2 linked regions of the Anolis sagrei genome follow. The protein of the gene in region 2 purifies or fractionates together with the protein of the main gene of each other region. This does not show direct contact. Links are inferred from orthologs where the notes say so. Each region holds a gene or a part of one and is shown on either strand. Other genes may lie near its edges. The genes, in order: FAM162A and VDAC2.

What was found.
Region 1: the proteins of VDAC2 (region 2) and FAM162A fractionate together in Homo sapiens (co-fractionation; 3 studies listed by BioGRID and IntAct, with this or other methods). This does not show direct contact. The link is inferred for Anolis sagrei from reciprocal best matches to the Homo sapiens genes VDAC2 and FAM162A.

The regions. Positions count from the first base shown.
Region 1 is NC_090022.1:170,361,429-170,376,775, reverse strand, and holds the start of FAM162A (protein FAM162A), read right to left. Parts: upstream 5,951-15,347; 5' UTR 5,865-5,950; coding exon 5,840-5,864; intron 1,416-5,839; coding exon 1,278-1,415; intron 48-1,277; coding exon 1-47. Other genes in the region: protein MIX23, read left to right, coding at 10,043-10,093, 14,122-14,247. UniProt on the Homo sapiens protein: Proposed to be involved in regulation of apoptosis; the exact mechanism may differ between cell types/tissues.
Region 2 is NC_090023.1:149,128,972-149,144,463, forward strand, and holds the start of VDAC2 (voltage-dependent anion-selective channel protein 2), read left to right. Parts: upstream 1-8,698; 5' UTR 8,699-8,847; intron 8,848-10,610; 5' UTR 10,611-10,635; coding exon 10,636-10,672; intron 10,673-13,035; coding exon 13,036-13,110; intron 13,111-14,676; coding exon 14,677-14,726; intron 14,727-15,492. UniProt on the Homo sapiens protein: Non-selective voltage-gated ion channel that mediates the transport of anions and cations through the mitochondrion outer membrane and plasma membrane.

The sequences.
Region 1 (15,347 bases), on a different chromosome or scaffold from region 2:
CTTCTCTCGTTCAGTGGGCTTGTGTCCTGGGATTTTGAAAGAGGCTCCTACAGAAAAGCAAGGAAGAAAAAAAGATGAAGCAATAAGTCCAAACCAAAGACTCCATTTAAATAGCAGTATTGACACAATACAATTTTCTAAATCAGTTCCCCAAATAACCCCAGGAACAGGGCTAAAAATCAATACAACAAGAAAAAATATTTTGTTGTTAGACTGATTTTATTTATTTATTAATCAATTTTATATACCACCACTCCCCGAAGGCTCGGAGCGGTTCACAATATACACATGTAATACATAACATTAAAATCAAGGAAAAATTCGATCAGCAAGGTTCAAATGCCAGCCTAAACAAATAAGTTTTACAAGCTGTACGAAAGGATAGTATAACAGATGACCACTGCCACCACCTAAGACACCTTAAGATATTAAAGATGATTCCCTGAGGTAAGCTTTTCCCTGCCATCCCAATACAGCTCTCCCCATAGCTCCCAAAATGATTGTGATGTTATGATGTAAAAAGAATTAGAATTATCCCCATAGGAATGAATTACAACTGAGGCTTCTTTAAAAGCTGAAATAGAGAAAAGATTTATCAGAACAAACAAACAACTGACTTCTTTGACGAGGCACAAAAGCTTAAATGGTTACTAAAGTACAGTATTCTTGATGGTTTCTTTAAAACAGGTTACTTGACTTAACCTACTAGCGAAATTCCACACTCTACAGTAACGCAGTAGCAGTGAGTTCCCCAGACTAACCTACTCAGGCTGTCTTCAAAGCAATTAGCCCACTCTAATCAGAGTTTTCTACAGCTAATCTACTCTATCCAGAGAGCAAACCACTTGTGTAAACACTCACAAGCAATCAGGCGACTACTTTTTATTTATTTTTATTTATTATTTGAATGTATATGCCGTCACTCCCCTGGGGCTCGGAGCGGTTTACAAGAACAGGCTAAAGTTGAACACAATTTAAAAACAATTAAAAAAAACAGCAGTCAAAGGTCAAAGGCCCGTCGAACCAGATGTGTCTTACATGCCCTGCGGAAAGCTGTAAAATAATACCAATTTAAAGTATTTAAATCATGAAGAAGACCAGGAAAAAACATGCAGGGGTCAACTGTAGGCCTGCAAGACCACTAACCAGCTTTTCATAATTGTAAACAAACCTAAGGTTGCAACCCTGTGCACATTTTTTTTGGAGAATTGGACCCCTTTGATACATTTCCAATTCAGGACAGACACAATTTGGTTGCAAACGATGATGATGTTTACCTGAAGCCTCTGGTTTTGACGTCTGTACATTGGTCTCCTGGGTTTTGCTGCATAATCTTCTATTCAGTGTGTAACATGATCCTTTAGTAACACGCAGAACAGAAAATAGATTTTTGTCCAGGATCTGAACAACTTTGCCTGGGGGATAAATGCAAAGAATAGTCATGTAGAATGAGAAGGACAGATCTGGGAAAACAGCACTTAAACAAGTTTCAGATTTGTGAATTTAAATCTAACACATTTTCACTATGGAAGGAGCTCCACTTAAGTCAGAAGAGTTGATATGCCTACAAGTCACCAGACAATTTAAGGCAATCCCATGAAGCAAGCAATACCCAGAAGTAGTTTGTCATTGCCTTCCTCTGAATGCAGCCTACAGTCCCAGGGCCCCATACACAATACATAATTATACCACTGTGGTTCCACTTTAACTGCCATATGCTTTGTGGTTTGAGGTGACACCAGAAAAGCTCTCTCCAGCTGTGGAGGCCACATTGCCAAGCCCAGAACTCCACAGGACAGTTAAAGAGAAACAATAGCTCTTATGAGACCATAAAAGATAAAGGTAAAGGTAGTCCCCTGACATTAAGTCCAGTCATGTCTGACTCTGGGGTGTGGTCTCATCTCCATTTCTAAGCCGAAGAGCCTGCGTTGTCCGTAGACACCTCCAAGGTCATGTGGCTGGCATGACTGCATGGAGCGCCGTTACCTTCCCGCCGGAGCAGTACCTATTGATCTACTCACATTTGCATGTTTTCAAACTGCTAGGTTGGCAGAAGCTAGGGCTGACAGCGGAAGCTCACGCCGCTCCCTGGAATCGAACCTTCGACCTTTCGATCAACAAGCTCAGCAGCTCAGTGCTTTAACCCACTGCGCCACCAGGGGCTCCCTATCAGAGCATAGGGCAGCCAATAGTCCTTGCAGAACAAAGTCTAGAAGCAGATCTTTCCAAACTGTGTGTAGTAACACACTATTAAATAGTTCAGATCCAGGGTATCTAGCTGACCACATCCTCTTGTACGAACCTGCCCGGGCCCTGGGATCTTCAGGAGAAGCCCTTCTCTCAGTGCCACCTCCATCTCAAGCTTGGTTAGTGGGAACGAGAAAGAGGGCCTTCCTTCTTGGTGGTTTTCCTTCATTTTCTTTTTCCATGGTAAATTGGATGTTTGGGTGGATGCTGTTGAGATGGTCCAGAAACCTGTTTACTACTTCTTCTCCATGGCTCCAAATGGTGAAAGTATCATCTACATATCCACATATGGCATGCTCATCAGCTACCCACCTTCGATGGAGCCGCGCTATCTCCATCGACCACTGTTAAGAGCTTAGGTGTCATCCTGGATTCGCAGCTGACAATGGAAACTCAGGTCGCTGCTGCCAGCAAACAGGCCTTTTTCCATCTACAACAAGCGAGGCAATTGGCACCCTATCTATCTGACGAGGCTCTGGCAACTGTCATCCATGCCACGGTCATGTCTAGGCTGGACAATTGCAACGCCCTGTGTGTTGGCCTTCCAAAGTCTACGACCCGAAAGCTCTGTATTGTTCAGAATGCGGCAGCCAGGTTACTCACAAGAACGCCCATGAAATGCCATATAACACCAGTGCTGCAACATTTACATTGGCTTCCAACTGAGTACCGTGGCCTGTATAAGATGTTAGTTCTGACCTTTAAAATTCTTCACAGCCAGGGTTCATCGTACCTTAGGGACCGCCTCTCCTTCTCCTATCATTGAAGGCCGCAAAGACCAGCACAACGTGACTTACTGTATATACCGGGTCCTAGAGAAGTGCACTTGGAAAGTACCAGACGCAGGGCTTTTTGTATTTCTGCCCCTGCCTTATGGAATCCTTTGCCGCCCTACATGAGAGCCATGCGTGACTTAGGACCTTTTACTCTAGCACTTAAGACCTGGCTTTTTACTAGAGCATTCGATCTCTGTTAATTTTTAATTTCTGTATTACGTATTTTATCTTTTACAATTTAGCTTGTAAATCGCCACATTTCATTTCCAACAGACTTCACAACCTCTGAGAATGCCTGCCACAGATGCAGGTGAAACACCAGGAGAGAATGCTTCTAGTGCATAGCCATACAGCCCAAAAAACCTACAACAACCCAGTGATTCCAGCCATGAAAGCCTTCAACAATACAGTTATGCTGATGCATTTATGTTAAGCCGCTTTGAGTCCCCTCCGGGGGAGATAAAGCAGGGCATTAATAATGATGATGATGATGTGTCGTGTGCAATGTATGGGTGTGTCACACAAATATAAGGAGAATCCGCTGGATCTCTGTGAAATCTTTATCTATAGGCACAATAAAAGTGAAAATATGTGTGTATATGAGTGGCTGGGGCTCCCACTTCCACAGAGAGACTCCCACATCCACAAACAGCTATAATTTCCACCACTGAGGAGCTACCAATGGCTCCAATGACATTGCAGGTTATAGTGACACACACATGATTTAAAAACAGTTATTGAAATCACACCATCCAAAATCAATTCCTTAGCTGTTCCATTGGTCCATTCACTATTCCTTATTATCTTATTGCATTATGAACTTTGCTGTTCGAAAGCTTGGTCTCATACCACTTTTTTCCTTTCTTTCTGAAGGTCAGGAGGGAGGGGGCTGCTCTAATTTCACTAGAGAGGGAGTTCCATAGCTGAGGGGCCACAACTGAGAAGGCCCTGTCTCTCGTCTCCAACAGTCACGCTTGCGAGGAAGATGGAATTGAGAGCAGGGCATCCTCAGAAGAAGTGTGTCACCAACGCGAAAAGTTTGGAAAGCTCTGACCTGACGACCCTTCCACACAGCCATATAACCCAGAATATCTGCCTGGCCAGCCGCCAGAATTAATCCAGTCTCTGTTTGACTTCGATGGGGAAGCTCTGGTTCCGTCTTCCACTGTTAAAAGCCTTGGGGTTGTGTTGGACTCATCGCTGACGATGGAGGCCCAGATCACTGCCATAAGTAAGCAGGCCTTTTTAAATCTTTGCCAGGCAAGGAAATTAGCATCCTACCTTTTGGTAGAAGCATTGGCAACAGTAATCCATGCAACTGTCACCACGAGGTTGGACTATTGCAACGCCTTATATGCTGGCCTTCTGAAGTCAACAACCCAGAAGATTTGAATGGTCCAAAAGGCAGCGGCCAGGCTGCTAGCAGGCATCTATAACAGTGGTTCTTAACCTGGGGTCCCCAGATGTTTTTGGCCTTCAACTCCCAGAAATCCTAATAGCTGGTAAACTGGCTGGGATTTCTGGGAGTTGTAGGCCAAAACACCTGGAGACCCACAGGTTGAGAACCACTGATCTATAAGATCCCATATTACACCAATTCTGCAACAACTGCATTGGCTACCAATAGAACATCGGATCTCTTACAAGATACTGATCCTGACATTTAGAGCTCAAAATGGCCAAGGACCTTTATATCTTAGGGACCGCCTCATTCCTTTTCTCCATCAGTGGTCACCTCGATCCACCCAGGAAAATCTCCTATACATACCGGGCCCTAGGGAGGTACACCTGGAAGCTACACGGTGTAGAGCTTTTTCGACCTGTGCTCCAATTCTGTGGAACTCATTGCCTCCATACATTAAAGCAATGTCGAAGTTGCGACCTTTTGTAAAGGCACTCAAGACTTGGTTGTTTGGTTGTGCATTTGAGTAATCAGATCTAATTTGCCAAATAGTCACTGTTGAATGTTTTTATGTTGAATGTTTTAATATTGTGTAAATGCTATTTTAGATTGTAAGTCACTCAGAGCACCTTGGTGGAGAGCGACTAATTAAGAAATAAAGTGAAGTGAATATCAAGGTGAAAATCCCACAATATCTGCTTTGAACTGAGGAGATTCCATCTGAACATGAGGAAGAACTTCCTGAGTGTGAGAGCCGTTCAGCAGTGGAACTCTCTGCCCTGGAGTGTGGTGGAGGCTCCTTCTTTGGAAGCTTTTAAACAGAGGCTGGATGGCCATCTGTCAGGGGTGCTTTGAATGCAATATTCCTGCTTCTTGGCAGGGGGTTGGACTGGATGGCCCATGAGGTCTCTTCCAACTCTTTGATTCTATTATTCTATCTGAGTCCGCACTGCCATATGTCCCACTTCAAAGCAGATAATGTGGGCTTTTATTCAGCTGTGTGGAAGGGGCCTGAGAGGGCTTAGGCGCCAGGTTCCTCTCTCTTGGAGGCTAAGCAGAGCCAGCACTGGTTGAGACTTGGCTGGGGAGACGAACAACAAAGCCCTAAAGGTTCCCAACCTTTGGGCCTCCAAGTGTTTTGAACTTCAACTCCCACAGCTGGTAAGATGGCTGGGAATTCTGGGCGTTGAAGTCCAAAACAACTGTAGGCCCAAAGGTTGGGAACCACTGAGGGAGGCAGGAACTGGCAGAACTTCCCCAGAGCACTCCTTGCAAAACGCCCGGAAACGCACAAGGCCGCCAACAGGCGCCTCTCTTGGCCGCCTTGACTAGGCCTGGCCGGATGGATGTTCAGAGCCAGGCCTCCTCCCCGCCCCGGAGACCAAGGTCCAACAGCAATGGAGAGCGCACTCACCAGCGGCGGCCAGGGGGCCCGACATTGCGCCGCTTCCGGCCTTCTCCTTTGCTGCCAATCGGCCCTCTGACCAAGGCCAGCTGAAGGGAGGCTGGCCCCGCCCCCTGCCCGAGGAGGAGGGGCCGGAAGTGGAGCGGATGGGGCGGGGCCTCGCGCCCTTGGCCAAAGGAGGCCTGCTTGCAACCAAAGCTAGAAATTTATTTATCGTGTCAGGGGCAACTAGACCATTGTATTACATTTATAACAGAACAAAACAAACAGATTAAAAAAAAACACAAAGTTTGCAAGCTTGGTAGTTGGTTAAATGTCCTTTGACCAGTATCTGGCCACTTGGAGTGCCTCTGGTGTTACTATAAGAAGGTCCTCCATTGTGCATGTGACAGGGCTCAGGTTGCATTGCAGCAGGTGGTCAGTGGTTTGCTCTTCTCCACACTCACATGTCGTGGATTCCACTTTGTAGCCCCATTTCTTAAGGTTGGCTCTGCATCTCGTGGTGCCAGAGCGTCTTCCAAGTCGCCCAGTTTTCTGTGTCTCATTTGGTATCAGCCATGGATTGAGGTTCTGGGTTTGAGCCTGCCACCTTTGGACTCTCGCTTGCCGATGTGTTCCAGCGTGTCTCTGTAGATCTTAGAAAACTATTTCTTGATTTAAGTCGTTGACGTGCTGGCTGATACCCAAACAAGGGATGAGCTGGAGATGTCCCTGCCTTGGTCCTTTCACTATTGGATGCTACTTCCCGGCGGATGTCAGGTGGTGCAATGCCAGCTAAGCAGTGTAATTTCTCCAGAGGTGTAGGGCGCAGGCAACCCGTGATAATGCGGCATGTCTCATTAAGAGCCACATCCACTGTTTTAGTGTGGTGAGATGTGTTCCACACTGGGCATGCATACTCAGCAGCAGAGTAGCATAGTGCAGATGCAAGGGCAGATGTCTCCACTGTGTCTGGTTGTGATCCCCAAGTTGTGCCAGTCAGCTTTCGTATGATATTGTTTCTAGCACCCACTTTTTGCTTGATATTCAGAAAGTACTTCTTGTAGGTAAGAGCACGGTCCAGAGTGACTCCCAGGCAGGCATGTAGCTGGAGGGGGGGAGGGGGCTTGGGGGTTTTCAGCCCCCCCCCCCAAATTCTCATGGTGGTCTGCGAGAAGGCCTTACTGCTACATTATTGAAACTGTTATGTTATTCATATCATGATCTGATCACCATGCTCAATATATCCCATATCCATGGGGGTATTGGGGTAACAATACAAAAGGTTTGCTAGGGTAGACCCTCTTTCACTCATACTCAGCCTTCCCCCCCCCAAAAAAAAATCAAACTCAGCCCCCCCCCCCCCAAACAAAATCCTGGCTACGGGCCTGCTCCCAGATATTTGGGTGTGCTGCAATGTTCCAGTGGGATTCCTTCCCAGGTAATCCTCAGAGCTCGGGATGCTTGAAAGCTAGAAATGGAGCTCCTCCAGTTTTGTGCGTTTAGCTCAGGTATGAGCAAACTTGGGCCCTCCAGGTGTTTTGGACTCCAACTCCTGGAATTCCTAACAGCCAGTAGGTACTCTCCATTGGTACTCAATTTGCAGGATCCCATGAAGTGTGTTAACTAGGGATCATGCAAATTGAACACCATTGGAGAGAGTATAAAACACTGAAATGTCCATGGTAGATGAAACACATAAAACCTAGGATTAAATTGGGTTTGAAAGCATTCACTTGGGTGGTGCGAAGTATTGTGTTTTGTGGAGCACATTGGTAGGGGCTGCCATACATCAAGGGAACCACTGACCGCATAGGAAAGCTGATGAGGAAACACAACATACAAGCTATCTACAGACCCACCAAGAAAATCCAACAAATGCTACGTTCAGCAAAGGACAAGAGGGATCCTCTCACTTCTGAAGGAGTCTACCGTGTACCATGCAGCTGTGGACAAGTCTACATAGGGACCACCAAACGCAGCACTGCCCAAACATGAATCAAGGAACATGAACGGCACTGCAGACTACTTCAACCAGAGAAATCAGCCATAGCAGAGCACCTGATGAACCAACCTGGACAGCATTTTAGAACACAGCATTTGATAACACAGAAATGCTTGACCACTCTCACAACCACCATGTCAGACTACACAGAGAAGCCATTGAAATCCACAAGCAGGTGGACAATTTCAACAGAAAGGAGGAAACCATGAAAATGAAAAAAATCTGGCTACCAGTATTAAAAAACTCAAAAATTACAACAGCACAACAACAGAGAGGAAACAAACAAGGACATCAAATCACCTCTCAACAAAAGTTTGCTCTAGCACTGTCAAGCCGTTATATGCTAATCAAGGTGGTCAGTTGAAACATTCACACCTAGCTCCAGCAGACAAGAGTCCTTTGTCTCACCCTGGTCATATAATAATACACATAAACCCTTTTCCTAGTTCCAACAGACCTCACTACCTCTGAGGATGCTTGCCATAGATGCAGGCGAAACGTCAGGAGAGAATGCCTAGACCATGGCTATATATGTGGGGTTGCCATTGAAGACATAATGTTATGTTTGGGGGTCACAACATGAGAAACTGTATTAAGGGGTCATGGCATTAGGAAGGTTGAGAAATACTGCCCTAGAATAATAGAATCATAGAGTTGGAAGAGATCTCATGGGCCATCTAATCCAACCCCTTCCCAAGAAGCAGGAAAATTGCGTCAAAGCACCCCTGACAGATGGCCATCCAGCCTCTGCTTAAAAGCTTCCAAAGGAGCCTCCACCACACTCCGGGGCAGAGAGTTCTACTGCTGAACAGCTCTCACAGTCAGGAAGTTCTTCCTCATGTTTATTTATTTATTTATTTATTTGCTTTACTTCTATACCGCTTTTCTCAGCCGAAATGGCGACTCAAAGCGGTTTACATAATACAAATTATCACAACAATATCCAGGCAATTAAAACACATTATACAAGACATACAAGGTCAAAAAACAATCATTATCATAATCGTAGCGCCTCAGCAACAAATCAGAATCATAATCCGTAATCATAATCCTTTATACCAATTCCTATGTTCGGTTGTACCATCTTCCTGTATTCCATTGCACTATTTAGCCAAACGTTTGTTCATAAAGCCAAGTCTTGACCTTCCTCCGGAACGCCAGCAGCGAGGGGGCCTGTCTGATGTCCACAGGTAGGGCATTCCACAGCCGAGGAGCCACCACCGAGAAGGCCCTGTCCCTCGTCCCCGCCAGCCGCGCCTGCGATGCAGGCGGGATCGAGAGCAGGGCCTCCCCAGATGATCTTAATGTCCTAGTCGGTTCATAGGTGGAGATGCGTTCGGAGAGGTAAGTAGGGCCGGAACCGTTTAGGGCTTTATAGGCTAAAGCCAGCACCTTGAATTGTGCCCGGTAGCAGATTGGCAGCCAGTGGAGCTGGCGCAACAGAGGAGTGGTGTGCTCCCTGAGTGCCGCTCCTGTCAGCAACCTGGCTGCCGAGCGTTGGACCATTTGAAGCTTCCGATGGAATTTCCTCTCTTGTAGTTTGAAGCCATTTCTCCACGTCCTAGTCTCCAGGGCAGCATCATCATCATCATCATCATTTAATTACTTATTAATCACCCTCCATCCAAGATGCTCTAGATGATTTCCAAGCTAAAATGGTAAAGGATAAAAATACATACAGATATTGATAAAATTAAAGCAGAAAACAAGCTTGCTCCCTCCTCCCTGTGACTTCCTCTCATGTATTTATACATGGCTGTCATATCTCCTCTCAGCCTTCTCTATTTCAGGCTAAGCATGCCCAGCTCTTTAAGCCGCTCCTCATAGGGCTTGTTCTCCAGACCCTTAATCATTTTAGTCACCCTCCTCTGGACACATTCCTGCTAGTTGATGCCTGCGGCCACGCAAGTGCTCTACACTGACTATTTAGAACACTTTGAAGCCAGCTTCAAACTGCTTTGGCCTGACAAGAAATCCCCACAGCCACAGAAGCACATGAAAGCATGCCCTTAATGCGCCTCAGTGCCCTGTGGTTCACCCTCGAGGCCTGGAAAAGGCGGAAGTTGACACAAGTGACCTAAAGCTCAGTGGTGCCACCTCCTCCCGCCTATTTGCCTGCGCAGGCGCAGAAGCCGCAGCCTCGTCCTGCCTCAATTCAATCTCGAGGGGGGAGGAGCTACTCTTGCGCCGCCGCGCTCGCTGATTGGCTGTGGTTGTGACTCTCCAATATGGCGGCGCCCAACTCTCATCCAAACTGTGAGGACTTTGCTGAATTCCAGGTATGGCCCCGGAGGCTGTTTCTCCGGAGCGAGGAGGCCATAAGGACACGGGACAGGAGTCGGTGGCCTCTCCCGACCCCTGGATCGTGTAGTTCAAACATCCTAGAAGTATTAGAAGGGACTCCCGAAGGCCAGCCGAGCCAACCCCCTTCTTGCCAGGCAGGGAGGCACAAGCCACATCCGCCCCACAGATGTCCAGGCCCTTTCTACACTGCTCTATAGCCAGAATAGCAAAGCAGATAATCCACATTATCGGCTTTGAACTGGATTATCTGAGTCTACACTGCTAGATAATCCAGTTCAAACCAGATAATCTTCAATGTATTGTCGAAGGCTTTCATGGCTGGAATCACTGGGTTGTTGTAGGTTTTTTTGGGCTGTATGGCCATAGTCTAGAGGCATTCTCTCCTACCTTTTGGTAGAAGCATTGGCAACAGTAATCCACGCAACAGTCATCACAAGATTGGACTATTGCAACGCCTTCCGTAGTCAACAACCCAGAAGATTGGATGGTCCAAAATGCAGCGGCCAGGCTGCTAGCAGGATCATCTGTAAGATCCCATATTACACCAATTCTGCAACAAACTGCATTGGCTACCAATAGAACATCGGATCTCGTACAAGATACTGATCCTGACATTTAGAGCTCAAAATGGCCAAGGACCTTTATATCTTAGGGACCGCCTCATTCCTTTTCCCCATCAATGGTCACCTCGATCCACCCAGGAAAATCTCCTATACGTACCGGGCCCTAGGGAGGCACATTTGGAAGCTACAAGGCGTAGAGCTTTTTCGACCTATGCTCCAATTCTGTGGAACTCATTGCCTCCATACATTAGAGCAATGTCGGAGTTGCGACCTTATGTAAAGGCACTCAAGACTTGGCTGTTTGGTTGTGCATTTGAGTAATCAGATCTAATTTGCCAAATAGTCACTGTTGAATGCTTTTATGTTGAATGTTTTAATATTGTGTAAATGCTATTTTAGATTGTAAGTCACTCGGAGCACCTTGGTGGAGAGCGACTAATTAAGAAATAAAGTGAAGTGAATATCAAGGTGAAAATCCCACAATATCTGCTTTGAATTGAGGAGATCCCATCTGAACATGAGGAAGAACTTCCTGAGTGTGAGAGCCGTTCAGCAGTGGAACTCTCTGCCCCGGAGTGTGGTGGAGGCTCCTTCTTTGGAAGCTTTTAAACAGAGGCTGGATGGCCATCTGTCAGGGGTGATTTGAATGCAATATTCCTGCTTCTTGGCAGGGGGTTGGACTGGATGGCCCATGAGGTCTCTTCCAACTCTTTGATTCTATTATTCTATCTGAGTCCGCACTGCCATATGTCCCACTTCAAAGCAGATAATGTGGTCTTTTTTTCAGCTGTGTGGAAGGCATTCTCTCCTGACGTTTCGCCTGCATCTATGGCAAGCATCCTCAGAGGTAGTGGGGTCTGTTGGAACTAGGAAAAGGGGTTTATATATCTGTGGAATGACCAGGGTGAGACAAAGGACTCTTGTCTGCTGGAGCTGGGTGTGAATGTTTCAACTGATCACCTTGATTAGCATATAATGGCCTGATAGTGCCTGGAGCCAACTTTTGTTGAGAGGTGATGAGATGTCCTTGTTTGTTTCCTCTCTGTTGTTGTGCTGTTGCAATTTTAGAGTTTTTTAAATACTATATAACATTATTGTGTATTGAACCCATGAGGTCTATGGCAAGCATCCTCAGAGGTAGTGAGGTCTGTTGGAACTAGGAAAAAGGGTTTATATACCTGTGGAACTGTGGTGCTGGAGGAAAGTACTGAGAGTGCCTTGGACTGCGAGAAGATCCAACCAGTCCATCCTCCAGGAAATAAAATCGGACTGCTTATTGGAGGGAAGGGTATTAGAGGCCAAGATAAAGTACTTTGGCCACATCATGAGGAGACAGCAAAGCCTAGAGAAGACAATGATGCTGGGGAAGGTGGAAGGTAAAAGGAAAAGGGGCTGACCAAGGGCAAGATGGATGGATGGCATCCTTGAAGTGACTGGACTGACTTTGAAGGAGCTGGGGGTGGTGACGGCCGACAGGGAGCTCTGGTGTGGGCTGGTCCATGAGGTCACAAAGAGTCGGAGACGACTGAACGAATGAACAACATACCTGTGGAAACCATGAAAATGAACAAAATCTGGCCACCAGTATTAAAAAAAACTCTAAAATTGCAACAGCACAACAGAGAGGAAACAAACAAGGACATCTCATCACCTCTCAACAAAAGTTGGCTCCAGGCACTATCAGGCCATTATATGCTAATCAAGATGATCAGTTGAAACATTCACACCCAGCTCCAGCAGACAAGAGTTCTTTGTCTCACCCTGGTCAATCCACAGGTATATAAACCCTTTTCCTAGTTCCAACAGACCTCACAACCTCTGAGGATGCTTGCCATAGATGCAGGCGAAACGTCAGGAGAGAATGCCTCTAGACCAGTGGTTCTCAACCTGGGGTCCACAGATGTTTTTGGCCTACAACACCCAGAAATCCCAGCCAGTTTACCAGCTGTTAGGATTTCTGGGAGTTGAAGGCCAAAAACATCTGGGGACCCCAGGTTGAGAACCACTGCTCTAGACCATGGTCATATAGCCCGAAAAAACCTACAACAACCCAGATAATCTTCCTTCCACATCTGGAATATTGTGTCCAGTTCTGGGCACCACAATTGAAGAGAGATATTGACACGCTTGAATGTATCCAGAGGAGGGCGACTCAAATGATCAAGGGTCTGGAGAACAAGCCCTATGAAGAGCGGCTTAAAGAGCTGGGCATGTTCTCAAGGCTGAGAGGAGACATGATAGCCATGTATAAATATGTGAGAGGAAGCCACAGGGAGGAGGGAGCAAACTTGTTTTCTGCTTCTCAGGAGACCAGGATGCAGAACAATGGCTTCAAACTACAAGAAAGGAGATTCCATCTGAACACGAGGAAGAACTTCCTGACTGTGAGAGCCGTTCAGCAGTGGAACTCTCTGTCCTGGAGTGTGGTGGAGGCTCCTTCTTTGGAAGCTTTTAAACAGAGGCTGGATGGCCATCTGTTGGGGGTGCTTTGAATGCAGTTTTCCTGCTTCTTGGCAGGAGGTTGGACTGGATGGCCCACGAGGTCTCTTCCAACTCTATGATCAGATACAAGATTATATGGCAGTGTAGAAGGGGCCTCGGCCTCTGCTCCAGAGAAGGAGCATTCCGATACATTCAGTCATTTTACACAGATTGAGACACTTCTCCCAGGGCCCTTCCACTCAGCCATGTAACCCAGAATATCAAGGCAGATAATCCACAATATCTGCTTTGACCTGGGTTATCTGAGGGCCCTTCCTCACAACTGAATAAAACCCCACATTATCTGCTTTGTACTGGGTTATATTGCAGTGTGGACTCAGATAACATAGTTCAGAGCAGATATTGTGGGATTTTCTGCCTTGATGTTCTGGGATATAGGCCTGTGTCGAAGGGCCCTGAGTCCACACTGCCATATAAACCAGTACAAAGCAGATAATATGGGATTTTATACAAGAAAGGGGCCCCAGAATGTCAAGGCAGAAAATCCCACAATATTGTCTAAGAATTGAGGCCCCTTCTACACTGCTGTTTAAAATCCCACATTTTCTAATTTGAACTGGATTATATGGCAGTGTAGACGCAGATATTTCAATTCAAAGCAGATATTTTGGATTACCTGTGTATCTTTGGATAGCATAGGGAAGAGTTTACACTCCTGTGGCGTTTGTTTTGCTGTTCAGAAGATTTGACCTCACTTTCTGTTCCTGTGCCAATTGGAACTTGAAAATTTGGCTTGTTGTGGAAAAAAGGTTTGGTGAAAAAGCTTCAGTGGAGACACCTTTTCTCCATGATAACTCTTTCAGGAGTGAATTGCCCTTTTGAGGGACACATTTCTCTGACTTCCTGTTGTCTCAGCCTGTTCTTAACTATGAGTCATTTGTAAGTTAGATGTGTGTAACTCAGACTGTTAAAAATCTGTTATTATTTTATCTCTACAGGAATTGCTCAGAGTGATGAGAACAATTGATGACAGAATAGTCCATGAGTTAAATACTACAGTTCCAACATTATCTTTTGTAGGAAAAATTGATGCTCGCCAAACTTGTAAAGAGCTTCACCAGTCGGTAAATATCTCTGTTGTTCTTCTCTCATATAGGCCCCTTTTAAAATATATGTTATCAGGCCGTAACTGACATGTCAAAAAGTAATGATGAACATAATTGACTGATATCATTTCAATGTTCTTATGCTCATTCTGTCTTATATTATATCCCTTAAAAGATAAGTTCTTATACACGTTTTATGCTTCGGAGATAGTTTCTGTGAACTTGAGGTATATGTTACATTGTCCTAAGCGCTGTTTGCAATAATAGTTAAGAGGTTGGGGATTATGCGTGCAAATTTCAGCCACAATAAACAAAATCCACAGGGGCAGGATGAGGAATACAGCTGTACATGTGAAAAAAAACTGGGATTATTGTTAATTATATCTGAACATGAGCCAGCAATTTATTTATTTATCGTGTCAGGGGCAGACCAAACAGTTGCGTTGCATTTTTAACAAACAAACAAACAAAACACAAAGTTTGCAAGCTTGGTAGTTTATTTATTTATCGTGTCATCAGCAACCATACCATTGTATTACATTTCTAACAGAACAAAACAAGCAAACAGATAAAAAAAAGCACACATTTTTCAAATTTGGTAGTTGATTAAATGTCCTTTGACCAGTATCTGGCCACTTGGAGCGCCTCTGGTGTTACTATAAGAAGGTCCTCCATTGTGCATGTAGCAGGGCTCAGATTGCATTGCAGCAGGTGGTCAGTGGTTTGCTTTTCTCCACACTTGCATGTCGTGGATTCAACTTTGTAGCCCTATTTCTTAAGATTGGCTCCGCATCTCTTGGTGCCAGAGCGCAGTCTGTTCAGCGCCTTCCAAGTCGCCCAGTCTTCTGTGTGCCCAGGGGGGAGTCTCTCATCTGGTATTAGCCATTGATTGAGGTAATAATAATAATAATAATATTAAAAATAAAAAACCTTTATTTATACCCTGCTAACATTTCCCGAAGGACTCGGTGCGGCTTACAAGAGGCCGAGGCCCAACACATCAATAAAACAACAACATAACAAATACAACAATAAACTCATAAAACAAGCAATAAACATTAAAACAATAGCAATAAACATTAGACAATAACACCACGACGCATTTAAAACTAAGGCCA
Region 2 (15,492 bases):
GATTACTGATTTCATAGAAACCATTCTAAGGTATCTTAACTCCTAATTAAAATGCAGATAACTCAACACTTAATGCAATTAATTTATTTAGGTCATTAGTAGTGCTGTGCGATTGATGAAATTTTTTTTCAAAACTCATTACAAAATTACGGGGTGCTGGCATTTCATTTCTAAAGTGTTTCTAAAGTAGCGTTAGTGAAAATTTCATTACTATAATGAGAATAACAACATTTCATTGGTTTTTCATTATAGCAATTGCTCAAGTGGGGAAATTTCAGGGTCTTTTTTCTCATTTTGACAGATATTTGAGGCGTAATGTGCTACAATGGTAGAACACATTTACCACTGTTAGCCCATCACATTTCAGAACATTTCACATATCCACAATTTTGGGGGGAATGTCCAAAGTTTTTATAAACATTTATAAACAAGATCCATCTCCTTGAATTTTCTATACAGATTTTCTGGATTATATGGCAGTGTAGACTCAGATAATTCAGTTCATTATCATAATTTGAATGATCTGCTTTGATAATCTGGATTATATGGCAGTGTAGAAGGGGCCCGAGCTGTTTCTGAGCACACCAAGACTGCAATGATTAGAGTCTCAGCCCAACCAGAATAGAAGCAAAACATGTTCTGCTGTTTAAGTTAAGCATAAAAAATACATGGTTCGGAACACTGGAAATGTCCTTCTAAAAAGTCAAGACATTGGCTCATCTAGTCCAGTGTTGTCTACACTGAGAGGAAGGAATGCCTTGTGATTCCAGATGGGACCATACTTAGAGATGGATCTGAAGGATTTTCTTGCAAAAAATGTAATCTGCCAATGAATTAAAAAGCCCTTCCCTAACAGAATATGTAACCGAGGAGATTGGGCATTTGGAGGGTTCTCTCAAGCCTACAACAATTCTTCATCCATTCTCACAGTTAGTAAAGGATACCCCTTTGTCCAAGCTATCTGAGGTCCCATCAGAAGCTGGCCCTTGCCCTCACAGGCTTAGTACTGCCACTTTTACTCTAGCAGGTACTACACCTTGTGGATCCCTGCTTATTGTACAGATATATAGAGCACAGGGGAAAGCAGTATGCCTTGGAGTGCTGCATCTTTAAGAAGTATGGAAAGAAGTATTTCAGGTGTGTTTTTACCACCAGAGTGCAGCAAGGATAGAAGTTAAGTTAAATAGTTTTTTCCCTCTGAGCAAATAGTTGCACTTCATTCTTAGATGAATTTGTTGGAAGTAAATCCCATTGACCTCAATGGGATGTATTTATAAACAAGAATGCATCTTGATGTTATGTTTATTTACTCAGGAGTAAGTTGCCATCGAGTTTAAGAGGACACTCTCAGATACTTACATACTACACAGGATCTCCCTGAGGATCTGGCAGAATTAAAGCAGAAACTTCCATTCTGTAAAGCCAAACAATGTTTGGGCTTGTACAAGAGTAACCTGATACCCTGAAGTCCAGATACAATGTTTGGGTTTGTACAAGGGCAACCTGATACCATACAGTCTATTCTTACTTTGACGAAACTCCTACTGAGCTCAATATAATACTTTCATGTAAGTGATCTAGGAGAAATTTTAAGTTCTGTCATTTTAAAAACTTAACCATCCCAGGGCTATATAAACGGCAAGATACAGGTATTTGTTACTTAAGTCATAGCTTTCCTTTGTTCAATTACAACAGTCCCCTTAATCTTTTTGTTAAGACAGGGGGAGTAGAGTATATCTTCCTCACTACAATAGGGCAGTAAAGTGCTAAAGTCTATCAGTTTAGCAGGCTTTGTGGCTTCAGTCACGTCAGGAGTTGCTGAAGAAACTGAACCCCTGTGCTATTTTTTCTCATGTCGGAGAACCTACCTTTCTTTATGTCGGAGGGTGGAAAAACAGAAATGATAGAAGAAAAGAAAAAGAAGAAGAAAAAGAAAGGACATAAACATACAGGTAAAGATGAATGTAATGGAAAATTTCATTCTCTTTCTCAAATTGCAGGATTGACTCGGTGTGGGAGAGTGAGTGAATGAGAAATAAGATGGGGTGGGTACCTGAGGCATTTTGGAGGGCTTTGGTGTTAGTAAAGGGCTGTGCTCTCCACATTTTGTAGGGAGGTTGGAAAGAGTGTGAGAAAACCTGTGGTGGGGTGTAGACCTCTCTGACTTTCCCAAAAGCCCCTACCATGGGTATGTCACCTGGGACGCACTCATATGCCACAATGGGCAATCTTGATACTGTCTGAACCTCATTTAGTTTAGTCACTGATTGGAACTGTATTACGATCACCTGCATACTTCTAAAACACATAAAAGAAAAAATACACACTATGAAGCATCAACTGCTTTTGCGACTGAGAATACCACTCCTAAATAAATGATATATCCTAAACATGCTTAATGAGATGTAAGTTCCATTGGTTCAATGATTAGCCAGTGATTTAATTCAATTGAGAAACTTTCCACAGAGTTGCAGCCTAACGTTTCACAATACATGATTTGAAAGCCAAACTCTACGAGGAGCTGTTTAGGGAGCTGGGTATGTTAAGCTTGGAGAAGAAAAGGCTGACAAAGGACATAATAGACATGTTTAAATATTCCACCTAAACATGAGGAAAACATCTTAATGTGAAGAAAAGTTAAACCAGTGGTTCTCAACCTGTGGGTCCCCAGCTGTTTTGGCCTACAACTCCTAGAAATCCCAGCCAGCTTACCAGTTGTTAGGATTTCTGGTAGTTGAAGGCCAATACACCTGGGGACCCTCCCTCACAGGGTGGAGGAATCTCCTTCCCAGGAGGTTTTGAAGCAGAAACTGGATGGCCATCAGTTGAAGGTACTTTTGAGTGTTCTTGCATGGTAGCAGTTTGGACTGGATGACCCTTCTAGTCCCTTACAACTCTATGATTCAATTATTCTTTAAATTTTTATTTGGCCAAAAGTTTGAAACACATGACACACAAAGTTATAAAGTGAACTTTAAAGGGATAGTTTAAAGTAGGAAATCTGTGGTCGGTTTTGCTTAACCCTTTCTCATCTCACTATAATATTTGCATAATATGCCATCATTCAGGAAGTATAACATGAAAATCCTAGCTCCATAGACCTATTTTCTAACCTTATCCAATTTGCTTTGTTTCCCTTGATGGATAAATAAAGGGGTTCCTATGTTAAGACAGCACTAATTTAACTCCCCCATGTTTCAAGTCACTTCAGATCTTTTTCACATCTCAAGCAAACTTGAGATGTGAAATGTGACTCTCCCCATCCAGCCATCGATCCATCCATCCATCTATCTATCTTCTCTCCTACTTTTTAACTTTTAAGTGTCCAAGTTTCAGTCTCCTTCTCCAATTCTGTCTTTTTTGACACCCCTCCCCATATTTTATTCCGTTTTGATGGCAATTGCTGGTGAAACTGAAGGTGTACGAGGCACCTTGCTGCAACCTGCTCACTCTCTCTCCATCACATGGAGGCATTGGGACAAGGCACATTGGTGCCCTGTCCCTGCCTCCATCAGATGGGAGAAAGGCATGAAAAATGTGGGTAGCTGCACTTGAGCTACCCAAAACACAAATTACCTCCCGCTGTTGTTGGTGAGGAAGTGTCTTGCAATGCTTCCTCACCACTTTGGCCACCAATGTGGGGGGGAGTCATGGCTTGCATCATGTGATGGTGCTTGGCAGGCCCCATCCCTGAAGAGGACCAAGGAGCTAAAAGAACCTTGTGTGATGAGGTAGTTTCAAAGCAAATTGCAAAAATTGTTTATACTGAGTAAACTGAACGGGTGGGAGTGGAATTAGGTAAAAGCAATCAATCTTAACTTATATTACTCCTCATGAAATAGCTTGAAATAGCTTGTGCTACCTTTACCACACACGTTACTTGGTCACATGTGTTTTGTGAAATGCTAAAGAGTACTTGGCAGATGCTGCGCACTGAGGTTGGGTATAAGACATGGTCCTCAGAGCAGGAACCAACTACACCTACCAACAAGGACACTTCAGGCTCATTTCAGTGACTGAGAGGAATGGAGCCCATCACATGACGTTGAACTACTTCCGGTTGTCATGTGTTCCCATCTCTAACTGAAATGAGCATGAAGGAGGGAGTTCCCTCCAGGGGTGAGTAATCGTCTTGTGAGCTGCTACTGCAATTTGATCCTCTCTTTAAAACAAAAAACACGTGGGATGGGAAGTATCCTTCCCTGTTTTGGTTCGTTGCTGCAAACAGAGAGCAGTGTTTGACTGGGGAGAATCAGCAGATTAAAGAGAGAAAGATAAAAGAGGTTTTTCGGCTGATAGAGAATGGGGAAAGCAGGGAGGACATGACAAGCCTTCCCCATGTGATGAATGTGAAGGCGGGCAACGTGGGGTCAAGAATGCTTCAAGAAAACAGTGGGATGGGAAGCAGTAAAAGTTTCACAGAGCGATTTGCATTCAAAAAGCGTTTTTCCCATCGCTATGGGGACAGACCCCCACGCTTCTCTACAAATCCGTAAGTCCATGTGATGAAGTCCCTAGTTTGCGTGTAATATCCTTCCTTTCAAGGTCTAAATATGCCTCATATTCCTTTGCTGGTTGGGATGAATAGTGTCGCTCCTGGACAGAATCTATAATCTATCAAGAGTGCAGACACAGTTTGTATCTAGAGATACAAACTGTTGTTGTGAACCGCTGTGAGTTGCCTTCGGGCTGAGAACAGCGGTATATAAGTAAGGTAAATAATAAATAAATAAATAAATAAATAAATAAATAAATAGAGAGCCACATTTTCATTACTTGTATCAAGACTGCAAGACAAAACAAAATGCAAGATTTTAAAATAGAGATGCAATCTTGGCACAATAAACAAACATATTATCACGTGCTGGTATATATAATAGCCCCTTTTACTAGATCTAACAAACATGTGGAGTATGTATTTTATTTTTAAAAAATATTTGCCTCTCTTTTTGAGCGTTTTCATAGAATTTTATTATTTCAGTTCAAGACTGCAAAGGCTGATAACTCTAGTCAATAGGGTTTTGGCTTTATGTTTTGTCTGGCAGATGCCTGCTAAGCTGGTATTATGTAATGATTTTGCTGACTGAGGGCTTCTGCCAGTCCCTCTGTCTAATCTCTAAATGATGCCTGTGTTTTGGTTCTGTTCTATGACATTTCTGTGCATGTTTTTTAATGTCAGGATCCTAATAAATCGGTGTCCTATATATTTACCTTGGCCCAATTTGCCAGCTTCTTGACCTAGTATTCCTCTTGTGGTTACCTGGGGCGCTCTCACCTCTGAGCTTCTTTGAAGTGTTTGTATAATATGTTTCAACAATTTCAGCTTTTAATCTCAGAGCTGGCTATTAAACCCGCTATGACATCTGGTTAATGTTGTTGCCATTTTGTAAGGTATTTTTCCAGCATCTTGATGTGGATTACAAAGCTTCAGCAGGCGTTCCTTTTTAAAAATTATATTGGTAGGGAAGTAGTGAGCTGGAACTCTGTCACTGGTCTTCCAGCTAATGACATAGAAAATATGTGACACATCTGTTGTAAACTCTGTACAAATGTACTAGTTGTAAAGGTCCTGTGTGGAATATTTCCTGGGTGGAGGTAGTGGTTTGCATTCCAATAGGATTGTACACTTTAATTATTTTTAAAACACTTGTGGTGGGTTTATGGCCCGTGCACCTCTCATTAGTATGCTCTATTTTGCTTCGAGTATGCACATATTCTCACACTTTTCTTTCCTAGTAAAGCAGGCCAACACAATTCTATAATTTACTACAATGAAATGCAGTCTGACGGGCTCCATAAACCTGTTTTAGCCACTTGCCCAGGGCTGCAAAAATTAGGAGGGTCAGGATACTAGCAACAGGATTGTTTGTAATGCATTAAATTTCTTAATGTTGTTATTTACATAGGCCTATTTCACAGGGCAGGTATGACAAAAATTATTTTACTGAGTAATAAAATGTACCATCTGTGATCCAACATGGACTGAAACATCCAGAAAAGAAATATTATAGCAGAACGTGTTCAATATTTTTAAACGGTATTGGGGAGAGGAAAAGGATAAATCAGGGAGGTTGGGGAGGGGGTAGAAGGGGTAATTTCGACTTCCAGTTGTCTCCGTATCTGGCTTCATAGTTTCTTTGGTTGATATTCGGAAGAGCAGCTAACCCTTTTCCAGTTGTAGTATTGTGTTATATTAAATTGTATTCAATTATCACTATTACTTATCATCCATTTATAGGGTTGTTGTCGGTTTTTTCGGGCTATATGGCCATGGTGTAGAGGCATTCTCTCCTGACGTTTCGCCTGCATCTATGGCAAGCATCCTCAGAGGTAGTGAGATTGGGGGGGGGGGTACCTCACTACTTCTGAGGATGCTTGCCATAGATGCAGGCAAAACGTCAGGAGAGAATGCCTCTACACCATGGCCATATAGCCCGAAAAAACCGACAACAACCCAGTGATTCCGGCCATGAAAGCTTTCGACAATACATCCATTTATAATTAAATGTCCTTGTCCTTTGCTGAACATAGCATTTGTTGGATTTTTTTAGTGGGTCTGTAGATAGTTTGTATGTTGTGTTTCCTCATCAGCTTCCCTATGTGGTCAATGGTTCCTTTGATGTATGGCAAGAACACTTTTCATCTGGGTGGATCTTTGTCTTGACCCTTGTGAAGTCTCAGCCTAGTTTTACCCCTCTGTTTATTTCTCTGTTTGCTCCCTGGAGGTGGACTGTTCCATTCTGCTAAGTTTTAGAGTAGGAGCTTAAGATCCCCCTAGAGGCCGAGCTCTGTTGGTTCAGCCCATTTTGGCTCAGAGCCTGGTGGAAGGCCTTTTCCCCTCCATCCTTCTTTGACTGAGCTTGTAGTAGTTAGCCAGAAAATGTCTGGTCTGGCTTTGCAGTTTGGAACAGGCAATCCTTAGCACGTATTTGCCTCAGAGACCAAAGTTTATAGATGTACATGCCAAAGACCTAAGCAGTACATGTCCCAGAGTTTATAGATGTACTTTCCATAGAATATAGATGTATATGCCTCCATAGAGTATAGAAGAATATAGATAGTATTTGCCCAAAGAGTATAGAAGTGTATGCCTTATAGATTAGAATTGTACCATCATAGAGAATATTATTTCATATAGTTTGTTCTTTACATCAGTTGTACCTTATACCTGTACCTTACTATTCTAATTCTATACCATCAAGAATCAAACTACACTTTTGTATACCTTGTTTTGATTCACCTTGATTATTCAGTAAACAATTGGTTAAATTTAGTCTCGTCTCTAGAGTTTTATTTTGGAGATATTAAAGTACATATAGGGCAGGGGTCCTCAAACTAAGGCCCGGGGGCCAGGTGCGGCACTCCAAGGTCATTTACCCGGCCCTCACTCTGGGTCAACCTAAGTATGAAACTACTTGAAAGCACACAATAACAACAACATTCCTATCTCATCAGCCAAAAGCAGGGCCACACTTTCCATTGAAACTCTAATAAGTTTATATTTGTTAAAATTGTTGTTCGTTTTAATTATTGTATTGTTTTAAAATGTTTTTTGCACTACAAATAAGATATTTGCAATGTGCATGATTTTTTCGAATTATAATCCGGCCCACCAACAGTTTGAGGGATTGTGACCTGGCCCTCTGTTTAAAAAGTTTGTGGACCCCTGATATAGGGCATACTGATGGTCACTGGGAAAATAGCCGGACATTTTCTTATCAGTCTTCCCAGCGTGTCATCACAACTCTTGTGGCTTGTTCTTGGTCTTGCAGCTGATGTCTGAGGTGGAGTATCCATTGGCCTGTAGAGCCCAGTTGAGGTGATTCAGTTCATCTTGAAGGAGGTGGGCTTCGTAGATTCTGCTTCTTCTGCTGGAGAAGCAATGCTGCATTCCCTGCAGATCTGGCACACAATAGAAAAGGAAAAGGCTCTCTTTATGTAATGATTTTTGGTTGTTTAGATAACCTGTGACATTGAGCTCTGGGCCAGAGAGGTTGTTTCTTAAGGTAACATTGTATTTGATTATGTAAACAGGTGTGGTTTACAACCAAAAGTTCAACAGTTGTGCTCTGGATTTCCCATCAGCCCTTTGCATGGTAATGAATTATCCAGCTCTTTTGTTCTTTCCATAATGCAGTTTGGTTTCATCTTTTTTTAGGATGGTGTCTTTAGCCCTGCCAGACCTCCATAGACCTCAGCCAGGCCCCAAGCGTCCAAGCCATTCAGTCCATTCTCCAGGCAGCCAGGGCGGCTCTGTCCCTCCTGTGGCGGGGTTTCCTTGGCGAGGCGCGCGCCCAGGGCACGAGGAGCGCGTTCTGCACGTTCCCTCACACAGCGCATGCCCAGAACGCTCTGCTCCTCCCGCCCCCCTCCCCCCGTTATGCAAGCGAGGCCACGCCCCGGCGCTTCTTCCTCGTCCCCCTCGCTCTCCCGCCTTCTCTCTTGGCCCCGCCCCTTTGTTTCTCCGCCCCAGGCCCTGCTGTGGCTGAGGACCTCTCCGTTACTCTCGCGGGGCATCCTACCGCAGTGCCTGACTAATTAGAGAATACCCTCAGGGCGTCGTTTCCCTTTGTATTCTCTCAGCGGCGTTTGCGCCTCGATTTGGCCCCCTCGCTGAGGTGACTGCTTGGATCCCCAAAGGCAGCGGCAGGGGTTCGGCACAGGCGCCTGCCAGGGCCACCCTCGCTCTCCCTCGGAGGGTCCTTGCGTGCAGGCGGGCGGCGAGCGCGAGGTGTCTCCTTCACTTCGCCCTCCAGCGCGGCCTTCACGCGGCGAGAGGAAAGGAAGCGCGCGCGCGAGAAAGGTGCGATATAGAGACGCTCCTGCGCCCTTTCCCCGTGTAGACAGGTAGGCGGGGTTGCCATGGAAACACGGCGGGCCCCGCGGGGGAGGGGGGTCTTGGTGCTCGGCCTCCCAATTGGTGGGGAGGAAGCGAGGGCTCAGGACCCTCCAAGAGAGGCTTCTCTCTGCATGGAATTGGCGCTGCTCCAAAGCCAAGGCCCCACTTTGGAGACTCCCCCCCCCCACACGTTACTTTCCCAACAGCCTTGCGAAGTTGCCTCACCCCCCCCCCCCCTTAGGAGTGCCCCTCTCTTTGCAAAAGTCTGTTCCTAGTATTTCCTCAAAGCCTTGTGTTCTCCCAATAAGAACGAATGGACATGTGATCTGGGCGGAAATTAAGGCCTAAACACAGTCGCTGGCCTCCATTAAAGTAGTAGGCGTGTGGAGTCGATTAGTGAGTGGTGAAGCAATATTCTCCTCGGGGTCTCCAACTGGATTTAGGCCTCTTCCCTTCTTTCTGCCTCTTTCTCCCCTTTTTGGGTTAATTAGTATAAGTTCTAGCCAAGCTGCCTTTGGTGGAATTATCCTTGGAAAAGGGGGATACTTCATTCTGTCTTATTCCTTTGCTCAACTTCTGTTTCCTCTCCCTGTCTTTTAAGTATGTCTGTAACCTGCATTTTTAATCCCCGGGCCATTGTTCTTGGCTCTCCCTCCTCTTCACACACTCAGCCTTCTAAAATTGCAGCCTTGAGGGAATTGGTTACTCCTCTCTGTGCTTCTTAAATGGTTTAAGCTTTTTTTTCTTTTTCAGGTATTCTTTTCTTGTGACCTGCTGTTACCTCCAATTTCTGTTCTCCTCTTAATATAGATGTCTTTTCTTTAATTTGCAGCAAGAGCAGCAGCAAAAGAATCCAGCTCTGGGAGAATTTGAACTTTAACAAGAGGAGGGATATGCTCTTCGTTTGTTGCTGTAGAAAACAATAGAATAAGGGACCGGGGATATTTAAGGGGTCGCCAGTCTGTCTCTTTAAGATGGCGGCATGGAACAGGTCACACTGCAGTAATTGTAGGAATGTCCTGGTTCCCCTTCACTCTTCTGCCCCTCATTCACCTGTGCATCGTTGCAAAGCCACAATCTTATCCCATAAGTGGGGCAGAGGCAGCTTCTATGATAAGGACTTAGATCTGTTTGGAAGAGTTTTCCAAACATTTCATGTTGGTGACACCCTTTTTAGACATGCTTCCTTTTTGTGACACAGTAATTGAGTTTTCCTGACAAACCAGAGTTTAAACCAACCCCTTACAAGAGTTTCTTTCTGTTTCTCTCTCTATATATATGATTACACACACACACACATATAAGATCTATGTTAAATAAAGTATAATATATACTTTTCATATAAACTATACTGTATAAACAAGGTTTGGATTTTTTACACTTATGTACTACAGTTGATCTTGCGTAGTTTCCTCTCCACGTGCTTCATCACAAACATTGTTAAAAATTTTTTTCTTAATTAGACATTTATGCATTTTAGTGGCAATTACTACAACACAACCAATTACTCAAATTATAAAGGTTAAACAGCACTTACACTTGAACAATACCAGACTTTGTTTGTTGGGGTGGGTGTGGGTGGGAGAGCATTTTTCATGCTATACACCTAGGGACTACAGGTGACATATGAGTGTATCCCAATACAGTTTGGAAAGCTCTGATCTAATTGTAATGCAAGATTTTAAAAATTACCAATGCTGAAATTGTTTATACTCCAGTTAACTTGCATTTCTATAATTTTCTTAAAAATCTAATTCTTCCCATTTTATAGATTTTCTAAATTGGAGTAGATAGCTATGAGTTTTAATCCAGCATGTCATCTCCCGTCAAGAAGTAAGTAGGGACATAGTTAAAGTAAGGATGTTCAAGTAATTAAACTAATATGTTGATAAGTTTAGTCATCGAAAAGTTTGAAGGGAAACTAATATCTAACAAAACAGTTCATTGATAATCAGAAGAAGTTGACTCTTTTTGGTAATATTAAGTGCTTGAAATAAGCCTATGTGCCATTGAACTGCCTTAAATGAAAATTTGCTTCCATCTGTTCTGTGTCTTTCTGCATGTTCTACTTAATAGATGGAAACTAGAGATATTTCCAAAGCCTTCTAAGAATTACTTAGGAGTGTTTTGAGATAAGGGTGAGGAGGAGTTTGAAAGAAAACTTCAGTGAAGGGTGCAGCATTATCCAATCTTCATGAAATTTAGTTTTAATTGTCATGCATCTACCTGCTTTTGACTAATATTTGCCTAAATTTTGCATAAAGATTTATTTGTCTCACTTTACATTTATGTTCCAGTTGGGGGTCTACTTAAAATTGAAAACTGTAGCCATTTGAGACAAGAAGAAGTTTTTATATGACTGGAAGATAACATTAATGCATAACTTGAAATTACTTCCGTGTATTTTAATTCAGCTTACTATTAAATAACTTTTTAGACTGAAACATTTTATTGCATGATTATTATTATTTTTGCAAATTTATGTTTTTATCAGCTTCTCTGCATTTTGGAGAGAGAATAGTATTTCGGCTAAAAAGTTACATACAGTAGTAGGAAACGGAACTTATGAATATGCAAATCTGAAAAATCCAAAATACTTTTGGTCCCATGCACTTTGGATAAGAGGTGCTCCACTTCTACCTCTTCTAAACCGAAAAAAAACAGGAAGAGGTGATGGTACTTGGAACCTTAATTTGCCTCCCAAGTTCTCAAGTTGCTGATCTTTCAGGACATAGAAGATATTTCAATTATTTAGTCCCATCTAATAAAACTAGACAAGTAAACCCACACAACTGTGTGTGACTTTAATATACAGATAATACAAGGAAAGAAATCCTTATAATATGTCATTGTCAGACTGTAATGATAATATATACTGAACATTGCTGTATGTTGAATGCAACCACTGAATTTTATTATTTACTGTAAAGGATGTGGTGCAATCCAGGGATGCTTTATCATGCTTGCCTTAAGATTTACAGTAGAATTAATCCTAATGTGAGGATATTTTCTCTGCACAATAAGGCATGGCAGATAATACTTCTATGCAGCACAGCAGAAAAACTAAAACAGGGACTTTGTGGTTGGGTAAGCATTCCAGAAGTGCCAAAATACTCCATTAATGTCAAATGCCACCCCCGCTGCCCATTTCAGACTTGCTCTGTGGGTGGTACACTTACCTTAGCCTTTAGCTATGCTCTCAGAGCTGAGCAGCCAACTCTACAATGATTTATAATATGATGATCAATGAATTGCAGATGGAAATAATGCTAAAACATTGACCAGAGAATCATAGATTCCAATTAGTTTTAGGATTCTCTTAAAACTTGGCATCTGTAACATTGGTTCAAAGTACTCAAAGAAAACAAAATTAAAGATCATATTTCTTGGATATAGAGTCTCATTAAGGTATACCCAGGAGTACCTGTTGTCCAGAGAAAAACATTGTATTCCAATATCAGCACATCAGTACTTTAAAAGTTGAAAATAATAAAAAATAATAAATGCGGCAGCAGGTCATGGAGTGCTAAACGGTGGTGTTTGTGTGTCCCCTGAATACCATGCAATTTTTTGTGATCTCTATTGCTTCTTCAGATTCCAGGCATCTGTCAACAAAACTGCATAACAAAATGAACAATTTTCTTGTGTGACAGTAGACCTTAAACAGTAAAGAGGATATTGGATTTTTCTAACATTGTGCAGCTGTTACTCAGCCTTGTTGTGAAATAAGCTTGTACCATTGTCGGATACAAACATTTGTTTGCAGGAATTTAATGTATGGAGTGAGAAAGAAGAGACTAGCAAAAAGTTTGTCTTTTGTATCCAAAAAGTGTGTCCTAAATATCCATAAAATATTTGGGCGTTCTGGTCTGAAAAGGATGTCTTCTTTCATTATCTTCCGGTTGTATAGCCTTTCATATTCTTCTTTTTAAAGAAAAAATATTAAATAAATGTATCTAACCATGAAGCAGTACGTTTACAGTATGTATCTTATTAGTTGTCCTCTCTGGACACCTACCTACAAATATTTTTTTAAAAAAATCAAATATAATTACAAGTGGAACTAACAACTGTAATGATAAAGCAGTTTTGTATTCACTGCCATAGTAAAACATTGGAATGTTTTAATGTTAAAAATAAATGCAGTTAATTTTTAAAAGAAAATTCAGTACTGATATGTCTTTTTTGTTTGTCAGCAACTCCAATGGCTATCCCACCAGCATATGGAGATCTCGGCAAGTCTGCCAGAGACATCTTCAACAAAGGATTTGGTATGAATTAAATTTGTGATAGATGTGGTATTGTCCATGTACTATTGTTGCCAATCTTTGTCCCATTTCCCTTCATGGTGTTGAACAAAGTAGTTTCAGGGAGAGAGAAACAGTATTATGGCAAACTACCATTTCTTGGAGGACTGAGTCAAGGTTGAAGGCCAGTTTTTGCCCTTGTGCCTCTCAAGGGCACTGCAGAGATGTGTTTACTCTTAAGGTGGGAGTGGCATGATACCACTTCTGATTTTGTTTTCAGCAGCATCTGGGAATGTCACCAGGGCTAAATTAAATAAAACTGCTGCCTTTGGAATTATTTGCTTTTGCACTATTGAACCATTTTTGACCAATGAATTGTCTGTTTTCTAAAATAATGATTCCATGTCTTTATTTATTTATTTGTGGTATTTGTATATCACTCTTCTCAACCCCAAAGGGGACTCAGGGCGATTATCGTCAGGGATTTCAGGGGTGGAAAAAAGCATGTAAGGGTGGTCTCAATTTGGACTTTCAGATGTGTCTTCTGTAGCCCCAATCACATATTTTTAGCATTGTGGTATTTGGCTTTGGGAATGGATCTCTTCAGTAGTAAGGGTTCTGCCCTCCACACTGTTTGTCCTGACTGAAACAGGAGGTAGGCGAGTTACTCCTGTCCAATGGGGAGAATCCTTACCACAAGTCAGTGGTGACAAATAGCGGGGCAGATTTTCCTTGGTGCTAATGGAAAGTTGTGATGTAGCCAGAACCTTCACTGTTTAGCTGTTGAGAGACATATGTTGTTTAAATGTCAGATTAACATGCTGCTATATTCTTGTTCTCAACCTTACAGATCATCACACCTCTTATAAAGCAAAAAAGATACTCTGTAGGAATATTTGTTAGACATTTTTTCCTAAGAAAAAAATGCGTAGAACATAGGCAATGCAACATGAAAGCCCCAGCTAGAATATTTGGACAATATTAAATAAATGTGGCTTAATAATCAGGCTCACATTGTAATGGAAAGTCATGGAAGAATATGTGTCCATAAAAAAACTTGGTTTACATTTATATTTTCCTTCTGCTGATTAAAAAAAATGTAATCACCTAGATGTAAATAAATACATCCTGTCTTTATCAGATTGCATCTGGAACGTATTGTAAAACAGTGTATATAGGACCCATTCTGAAAATCCTTTCACCCGAAATGGAACTTGAGAGTGTATTTCTCTGGACAGATCTCTGCCTCATCCCTGCTCCTAGATTCCAGTCTCATTCATTTCTCATCTGTCTTTGGCACAAGGATATGTGAAAGTGAGGAGACCTTTCTTCCTCAAACAAATAATTATATCCAGAATTGGGTGAAAATAGATTTTAATTGTGTAACCTTATTTTTTCTACATTTTATTTTTTATATATACATGCTATATTTTTCCTTGTTTTCCATCAGAACTTTTTAACATCAAAATTTTCTTGTAGTAGAACCAATATGACTCCACCTCGAAACATAGTCAAAACTCAATTTATAGTGTGGACTGCTTGACTGCTTAAGTTTTAAAAAGTGGTAGTAATTTTGATCTGTTTGTCAAGGTTTTGGCCTGGTGAAATTGGATGTGAAAACGAAATCTGCAAGTGGAGTGGTAAGTGCTTCACACAGGGAGTCATACAGCTACCTTCACTTTCTGCTTATCCTGGCTTCCCATTAGTCATTCTGGAGTTCCCTCCTGCGGAAAACTTGTTTTTGCCCTTAAAATGTGCCTTGCTATTACCGGAAGCCTCTGTGAGCAGTAATTCTATTTAAAAAGAAGGCACACTCAAGTCTTGTTTTGCACTCTCCCTCCAAAAGGGACTCTCAAAACTACAAGTGAATTTTAAATTTAAGTCAGCCTTTGTTGAGTTTCAGAGGTGGAAAATTGAAACTTGTTCTCCTGAAGCCTGTCCACCTGACATACAGCATGAAATTGAATAGTAGCAGATTTATGAGAGATATAATTTTATCTTTTGATCAGGGAGCTGCCTTAAGGCCCTTCCCAAGCTTCCTGTGTCTACAGCAGAGGACATAGGAAGCGGATTTCAGAAATCTTTAAAGAATCAAGATGAACTGCTAAATCTGCCTGTCTCGCTCATTGTAATGATACTCTACGGTTCATCCTTCACTCTGATGCATAGAGAATGAAAGAGAAAGCCAGTGTTTTCTGACCTAGTTACTCATCAGCGCTGCATCATTAAGTAACTAATGGCACATTTCTACACTGGCTTTGTCTTATTATGTTTTGACGTGATTCCTGAATAGGAATGTGTCATTTCCTTTTTCATTTTCATTCTGCCTTTCCCCTAATTTGTAGTTTGCAGTTATGTCTACCAAACTAATGTTAACATCCAAATCATAATTTTGAATCTGTATGC